2 linked regions of the Ovis aries genome follow. The protein of the gene in region 2 purifies or fractionates together with the protein of the main gene of each other region. This does not show direct contact. Links are inferred from orthologs where the notes say so. Each region holds a gene or a part of one and is shown on either strand. Other genes may lie near its edges.

The links.
Region 1: the proteins of PKMYT1 (region 2) and CKS2 purify together in Homo sapiens (affinity purification with mass spectrometry; 3 studies listed by BioGRID and IntAct, counting the BioPlex papers as one, with this or other methods). This does not show direct contact. The link is inferred for Ovis aries from reciprocal best matches to the Homo sapiens genes PKMYT1 and CKS2.

What each region holds. Positions count from the first base shown.
Region 1 is NC_056055.1:24,107,313-24,111,224, forward strand, and holds the start of CKS2 (cyclin-dependent kinases regulatory subunit 2), read left to right. Parts: upstream 1-1,228; 5' UTR 1,229-1,330; coding exon 1,331-1,389; intron 1,390-3,912. UniProt on the Homo sapiens protein: Binds to the catalytic subunit of the cyclin dependent kinases and is essential for their biological function.
Region 2 is NC_056077.1:2,892,932-2,896,843, reverse strand, and holds the start of PKMYT1 (membrane-associated tyrosine- and threonine-specific cdc2-inhibitory kinase), read left to right. Parts: upstream 1-1,571; 5' UTR 1,572-1,759; intron 1,760-2,118; 5' UTR 2,119-2,227; intron 2,228-3,912. UniProt on the Homo sapiens protein: Acts as a negative regulator of entry into mitosis (G2 to M transition) by phosphorylation of the CDK1 kinase specifically when CDK1 is complexed to cyclins. Mediates phosphorylation of CDK1 predominantly on 'Thr-14'. Also involved in Golgi fragmentation.

The sequences.
Region 1 (3,912 bases), on a different chromosome or scaffold from region 2:
CAAGGATGGAGAGGAATGCGGACGGTGGGGACTTCCTCCGAACAGGTGATGAAGACGACTTTCTTAGCTTAGGCTGAGAGTCAAGAGATAAAGCGACCATCCTGTGGGAGGGAGGCAGTGGCAGGACAATGAAGCTCTTACCGGTATTGTGCTGCACTACCCACAGGCGCTCATTGTGGAAAAAGTGAAAAACACTTTCTTCTTGGCCACGGGGCATGTGAGATCTTAGTTCCCTACCAGGGATCTACCTAGGGTCCACGACATTGAAAGCGCACAGGCCTAACCACTGGACCACCAGGGAACCCCGTACAAGTACCTTAATTTTAAATTAGATTTCAAGCATAACAAGCCAAAGGAATTTTTACAAATCACTTTTAATACCGTCGTCCTCTACCAAACATCATTATTTTAGTAATTTTTATTTTCCCATACGCACGCACGCACGCCTATCTATAGAGTTGTCAGAATGTGCGAAGGGCGTGGGAAGACAATTGTCCCCTGAGAGGTCTCTGGGCAACGGCCTCGCACCGCCACCCCCGCAGCACTCAGTAGCGAGGTTCCGGGATACTCCATGCGGCCTCGCCGCTGTGCGGTATTCTGACGTCTTCCTCACGTCCCGGCACAACTTTGGCTTTCCGGATCTCTACTCCACAAAACGGCTGGGCGCGCCTGGGTTAAGACTCTTCCCCTCACTCTTCCCTCTTTCTCTCAGTCTTTCCCTCAGTCTAGGGCTGCCCGCCTTCCTCAACTCCCACGTACTTCCGGCACGTAGGACCGGCAGCCGAGGGTGCGCGGACAAACTGACGACAGCTCTATAGGCAGCCCCCTCCCACTCCTGGGCCTTGCCAAACCTCGCGATACCGTACCCCTCCCGCAGGTTCGCGGTCCAAACGGCTCAGCGGACCTGGAACCTTCTAAACTCCTGCGCACGCGCTCTACGGTTCCTAACGTCCTGGTTCCGCCCTTCCCTGGCCGCGCCCTTCTCGTTAGGGAGCTCCCCACCCCCACGCCACGCCAATCATCACTTCTTTCCTGGGGCGACCTCGCAACAGGCCTCTGATTGGCTAATCTTGTGCAAACGCCACAGAAAGGCGGTGACGATAGGCTAGGAGCTGGTTGCAGCCTTCCCGCAGGATGAGCGGAAGGTGATTGGTCGGCACCGTTACCCAATCAGCGGCGGGCTGTCGGATTCAAACCTGGCTCGTTCGGCTTACGGTCGGTTGGTCTCAGTCGAGTCGTTGCCTTCACCTGACGCAGACGTCTCCTCACCTGCGCCCTGTCTTCGCGCCGCTTCGCTCTAGTCAGCTGCTGCCCACCGCCCGCCTGCAGGATGGCCCATAAGCAGATCTACTACTCGGACAAGTACTTCGATGAACACTACGAATACCGGTGAGCAGGCCAGACAGCCTACCTCTGCCGCGGCCCCGGGCAAGCCTGGGCTGGAACTCCGGCCAAGGGAGAGAACCTGGGACCCAGAGTCGGGGTCGAAGAGCTTCGGGCTGGGGTTAGGGTCGGGGTCCGGAGTTCAGGTCGGGAGCCAGCCGCGAGTCTCTGTTGTGTTGGGGTCGGGCCGCCGGGGTGGGAGCGCGCGCCTCTCCTCGTCTGGCGGGCCGGCCCAGCCGGCTTCCGCTCTTTGTTCCTGTCTGTGAGGGGGACAAAGCTGGAGCGCAGAAGGGGCCGCTTCTGGTGCAGAGTTGCTGCCCTAAAGGAAAGGGACCGAGGGCCTAAGGGGGCCCGGCGTGGCCGAAGCCTGGCGCTGAGAGTCCGACGCCTGCATAAAAGCGCAACGGTTCCTAAAAACTTCGGCCTACCTGGCATTCAGGCAAACGCCCCCACCCCCCCCCCCCACCCCCAGTCACAGAGGGCGAGGGGCGGTCGGAAGGGTGATTTTGGTCAGGTAACGTCGCCAGAGAAACACTTCTCTCTTGAAGTTGATGGCACTAAAAATTAGTTTGTGGGGGAATCCCCCCCCCCCCCAAACGAGCTTGCTTGGGATTTGAATGTGTAGTGGGTATGGCGACTTTGAGCGGGTGCTGGTGCGTGGTAACCTTCTTGGGTTAATATTGAAGGGGCTTCCTTTTGAGACTAAATTGAGAACTCGAACAGCTTTGGGGCATTTTTTTCTGTTAGTTTATATCGGCCAAATAATTTTTTGCTTTGAGGCTTTTTTTTTTGTGGCTTCTGCATCATTATGTGATGGGACTAGAGCGTAGTTTCCAAATGTGATTAGCAAATTGGATTGTGGGAGGAAACGAACTCTCGATCGCCTTAACGCTTTCCGGAGACTTAACTAGGGTGTGGCTTCAAACACCAGCTCCGCCCAGTCCTCCTAGGTGGTGACTAGGACGCTGCATCCTGGGAAACTGCTAACGTGTAGGCGGGGCCAAACAGTGACCTTTTCTGTCTGCTCTCCTTTTAGATGTCCAAGAAAGCTGTTTTGAGTTAGAAAGCGTACATTCAGTAACAGTGGGTGGGTCTCCTCTTTTCCCCTCCCCCTAATGTCTTGTAAATCTGTATTCTCTGGAGAAAAATTGATTTCTCTGGACAGCCTTGCAGATTAGTAATACCTAATTGCATTGGAAAAGTCTCTTTGTTTGAAGTCAGTTGTCATATTTTTACATACTACACAGTTCTATTCCTGTAATGTGTTGATATGTTCAATTATGTGATGTTGACCAAGAATTCAGCTGGGGATATGCAGTAATGGACAGAATATAACCACAATCTTACTAAAATCTGGATTAATATCCAATCCAGTATTAATTAAAGCTGTTGTTTCTTGACCAAGCCACTTAAACTTTTGTGAAACAGGGCAGTAATCTTCAGAGAAGGGAAGTTTAATTGTATCCTGCAATGTTATCTTAGTAGCTCCTTTGTTGTTTGTATTGTTATTGCCTTCTTTACCTCATCACCCTCCATGAAAAGCACTTGGTACTGAAATGTTAACTTTGGGCAACAATTCTCCTTATATGTAGTTAGAAATATATATAGTTTTGAAAGTGTGAAAGTGTTATTTGTTCAGTCCCGTGTCCGACTCTTTGTGACCCCATGGACTGTAGGCCACCAAGCTCCTCTGTTCATGGGATTCTCCAGGCAAGAATACTGGAGTGGTTGCCATTCCCCTCTGGAGGGGATCTTCCTGACCCAAAGATCAAACCTGGGTCTTCCACATTGCAGGTAGATTCTTTACCTTCTGAGCCATCAGGGAAGCCCAATATATACCCATGCAGGGGGAAAACAAATACATGTAGACTCTCCATCTGAGATTGAAGCTACAGATTTTTCCCTTGTCATCAAACTTTGATGATGGTTAGCCTATTCCTATGGTTTATGGAGAAGGTAGGGATGTGACTTCCACTTAAACATAAAATATTGCTGTATTTTGTAGGGTATACGTAAGGTGAGTACAAAAACACTGTACATTTCTCTTGAGACTAATCAACAATTAGGTAGAAGATAGAAATCAGGTAACAGGTTATTTGCAGCTCTTACAATCAGGGACCATTCTCAATTTATAATCACTTCTGTGGTCTTAGTGGAGAAGGAAATGGCAACCCACTCCAGTACCCTTGCCTGGAAAATCCCATGGATGGAGGAACCCGGTAGGCTACAGTCCATGGGGTCATGAAGAGTCGGACCTGACTTCACTTTCATGCATTGGAGAAGAAACACCCACTCCAGTGTTTTTGCCTGGAGAATCCCAGGGACGGGGGAGCCTGGTGGGCTGCCGTCTATGGGGTCACAGAGTTGGACACCACTGAAACGACTTAACAGCAGCAGCTGTGGTCTTAGATGACTTCTCTTGCTCTCTGATCACATCAGTCTGCTTCCTAACCAACAGGAAGGAGAAAAATGAAAACTGGCATGCTCTTTTCTTTTCAGGATGCTTTCCATAAGTTGCATATTTTCTGC
Region 2 (3,912 bases):
GACATACCAACTGGAAAAGCAGGCCCCTGGAAGGAAGAGACCCAGGGCTCTCCATCACTTAAAAGAATGCCCTAATTATCTGTGTAACCAAATAGAATCATAAATTCTATTATGCTTATTGGGGTATGACCACAGGCCTATTGATAATTGTCCATTGTTAACTACATAGGCTTAAGACATGATCAAGCGTTAACTTTGATTGTATTTCTTTTTCCTTTCTTCAGACTAGTTTCAGGGAACCTCATACACTTAGGGTGTATAAAGTGAAAGTGAAGTTGCTCAGTCTTGTCCGACTCTTCATGATCCCACGGACTGTAGCCCAGCAGACTTCTCCGTTCCTGGGATTTTTCAGGCAGGAGTACTGGAGTGGGTTGCCACTTCCTTCTCCATGGGATCTTCCCAACCCAGGGATCAAACCCAGGTCTGCCACATTGCAGGCAGATGCTTTACCCTCTGAGCCATCAGGGAAGAAGGTTTTCACAAAAACTGGTTGGGGTCCTTGGCTAAAAGGAGACTCTGCCTTGGGCCTGCCAGTGTAATAAACTGCACTGCCCTATCTGCATTGTCCTTCTGAATGAGTTTCTTCCCCGGAAGGCGTGGCTACAACATGACCAGATGGGGAGCCTTGTGGCCTGGAAGCCTGACTCCCCTGATCCTGTTAAAGGATGAAAAGGTCCTGTCCGGTGAAAGAAGCAACTCCCAGTCACTAGCTAGGAATCAGCGTCTGCTCTGGCAGTCCCGCTGCTAAGAATTTTAACGGGATCATCGTATTTGACCCCCAGTTCCCTGAAGGAAGCGTCATCAGCTCCATTTTTACAGAAGGGACTTAAGTCCCAAGCTTAAGACCCAGTGCCTTCCCAAGGTCATTAGGCCAAGAGGCTGAAGGAGATTTAAGCTGCGCCTAAGTCTCAAATCCAAAGACTGGGAAGGGCTGCCTCCGAACTAGCTGAGACATGGAGGAAGGGAGGCTTCTTGGAAGAGGCAGAATTTTCTGGTTCATTCTTGTTCAGCGGGTAGAGGGTGTGTGTGTGGTGGGGGGAGGAATGGGGGGATGGCAGCCCTATCGCCGCATTGCAGTGCATGGCAGGTATGAGGAGGGTACAGTAAACCCCAAGGGACTCGACTGCGACAGAACCCTGGAGGCTGCAGAGACTTCCTGTCCAGCCCCCAAGAGACCGCCTCTTGGGGCTACACCTCAGGGGCAAAAAACACAGTTGACCGTTCCCTTTATAGATGGCAGAAACTAAGCCAGCCCAGCGAAGGCCGTGGGTCTCGGCACAGAAATCTGGACGTCGGCTGGCTACCCGGGAACCAGGCAGGAGGGACCCAACAGCTGCCTGAGACCCCGCGTGGCGCCTCAGCCTCCAAGCCGCACCACGTAGCCACCCTCCTCCGCCCCGGGGCGGAGCTGAGGAGACTTCGCGCCTGCGCAATGAGAGCGCTGGTCCGGCGACCGGGCGTCGACGACGCGCACGCAGGGGCGTTGGGGCGGAGCCCCAGCAGGCTGGGCGCCTCTGATAGGCCACATCGGGGGTAAGAGGCGTTCCTGGGCGGGGCCTCGAGGCCGGTTTGGAATTTTTGGCGCGAGCTGGGTCCGCGCGCGTTCACGGGCCGTTCCCCCTCTAGAGTTCCCCCGCCCGGGTGTGGGGAGCGGTGGGCCGAAGACCCCGGCCCGCCTGACCGCCCCGAGGGCTCCCGCGCCTTCCGCTGACCCGGAATCTGGGACTTTGCTGAGCTGCGCCCCGCCCACCCGCCTCAGGTGAGCCCACACCTGGCCCTGAGGGTTCCCGGAAGGGACCGCCCTCTCCTCCCTTCTGCCGCCTCCCGAACAACTCTTAGCCCCCCTGACTGGCCTTGGATCTGCCTCACAGCCAACCCCCTCCAGCCTCCCTCCTTACCCCTCCGACAGCCCCAGCCCTCCCTGGGCCAGCCCAACCCCACTGCTCAGCCCTCCCTGGGCCCCTCTGCCGCGGGCGGCTCCGCCCACTTCCCCTTCGCCGGGCCTCCCTATCCCCTTGCTGGGAGCCCCTTACCCCTGCGACTACTCCTCCTTTACTTGTCCTCCCCAAGAAAAGCTCCTCCCCGGTGACAACAGGTCTGCTCCACTCTGTTCGCCAGGGTTTCCCCACGCCCACGGAGGTGAATCAGCTTTGGCCCTGCCCTGGAGGAACTCACAGTCTAGTGCGGTAGACGGTGGTCAGCAGATGGCATCCTACCCACTGAGAGGGTGAGGCCCCTGAAAAGTCATCCCAGCCTGGCCTGTTCTTGGGGCCGCCCTGGATTCACCGGGAGCCCCAATTTCTCCTACCTACCCCCCACCCCCACCCCCAAAGCTGTTTGGCCAGGCTAGAACGTTTACGTACTGTGGGATGGTGTGAGAATTGGTTAAGGGCCTGGAGGCTGTACTTTCAACGAGCACCCTACAGGGGCCTGACACCCTAGTCCTTCGATTTGAGAAACTCTGGGATTCCTGAGATGGATAGAGGCAGAGGGAGCGTCCCCACAGGCTGCAGGGTGAGTTCTCCATGCAGGCCCTCGTGGGGTCCCGCCCCTCACCCCTCACTTACTCAGGCATTGGAGGACACCCTCAGATTACCGCTCCTTCCAGTTTCAGTTACTGACTCACCCCCCTGTGCTGACTATGGACTCCTTTTGCTACACTGTGGCTCCTCTCAAGATTAGACTCTTTTTTTTTTTTCCCCCTTTTTTCTTTCAATTATAACATTATAGCCACACAATAGCCCTCTCTGCTCCAACAGAAAAGTCATTTATACCCATGGGACCACTGTCTTTTGTGTATTTTTTTAATTACAACTCAGAGCATTATATAACGGATACTGAGGAATCTGCATGCCAGATCCTAGACTAAGCCTTCCATAAAGCCAGCATTACAGGTCCACAAGCCCCTGAGTCCAGGTGTGTTTCCTGGACTAAATGTCTAAATTCTATAATGTCTCCAATTTTAGAAAGCTAATAGGGTACATGTAAGACATCATAGCTCAGTTGGTAAAAAAATCTACCTGCAATGCAGGAGACCCAGGTTTGATCCCTGGGTGGGGAAGATTCCCTGGAGAAGGAAATAGCAACCCACTCCAGTATTCTTGCCTGGAGAATCCCATGGACAGAGGAGTCTGGCGGACTATAGTCCATGGGGTCGCAAGAGTCTGACACGACTTAGCAACGAAACCAATCAACCAACCACCATATGTAACACCACCCATTCATGCATCTGGGACATCATCTCATAATCAAATGCATTAGTATTTCTATATGAATATTTATACTTAGAAGGAAGAATAGGCTGGGTCGGATTTTTCTTCTAAATGCTTATTGCATGTACACACCCAATTTTCCCAGCACCATTTATTAAAAAAACTATTTCTTTCCTGCTGAATTCTTTTGGCACTCTTGTGAAAATCAATGGACTCCTTAAGTGTGAGAGTTTTATTTCTCAACTCTCAGTTCTATACCACTGATCTTCATGTCCATCCTTATGTCAAGGGGGGAGTGGGTGTTTTCAGTAACGAGTCATTTTCCTCTTGCTACTCCCAAGATTCCCCGTCACGTTTGGTTTCCGGCACTTTTGACTCTGTGTGTGTGTATCTGCACTTATCCTACTTGAGGTTCATTGAGCTTCTTGGTTATTTTTACAATCACATTTGGGAAGTTGTAATCCATATTTTTCTAGCTCCTTCTCTTCTCTGGTGTACCCATCATGCATATGTTGGTTCACTTTGTTGTTCAGTCACCAAGTTGTGTCTGACTCTTTGAGACCCCATGAACTGCAGCACATCAGGCTTCCATGTTCTTTACTATCTCCAGGAGTTTGCTCAAACTGATGTCCATTGAGTTGGTGATGCCATCCAACCATCTCATCTTCTGCCGCCCCCTTCTCCTCCTGCCCTCGATCTT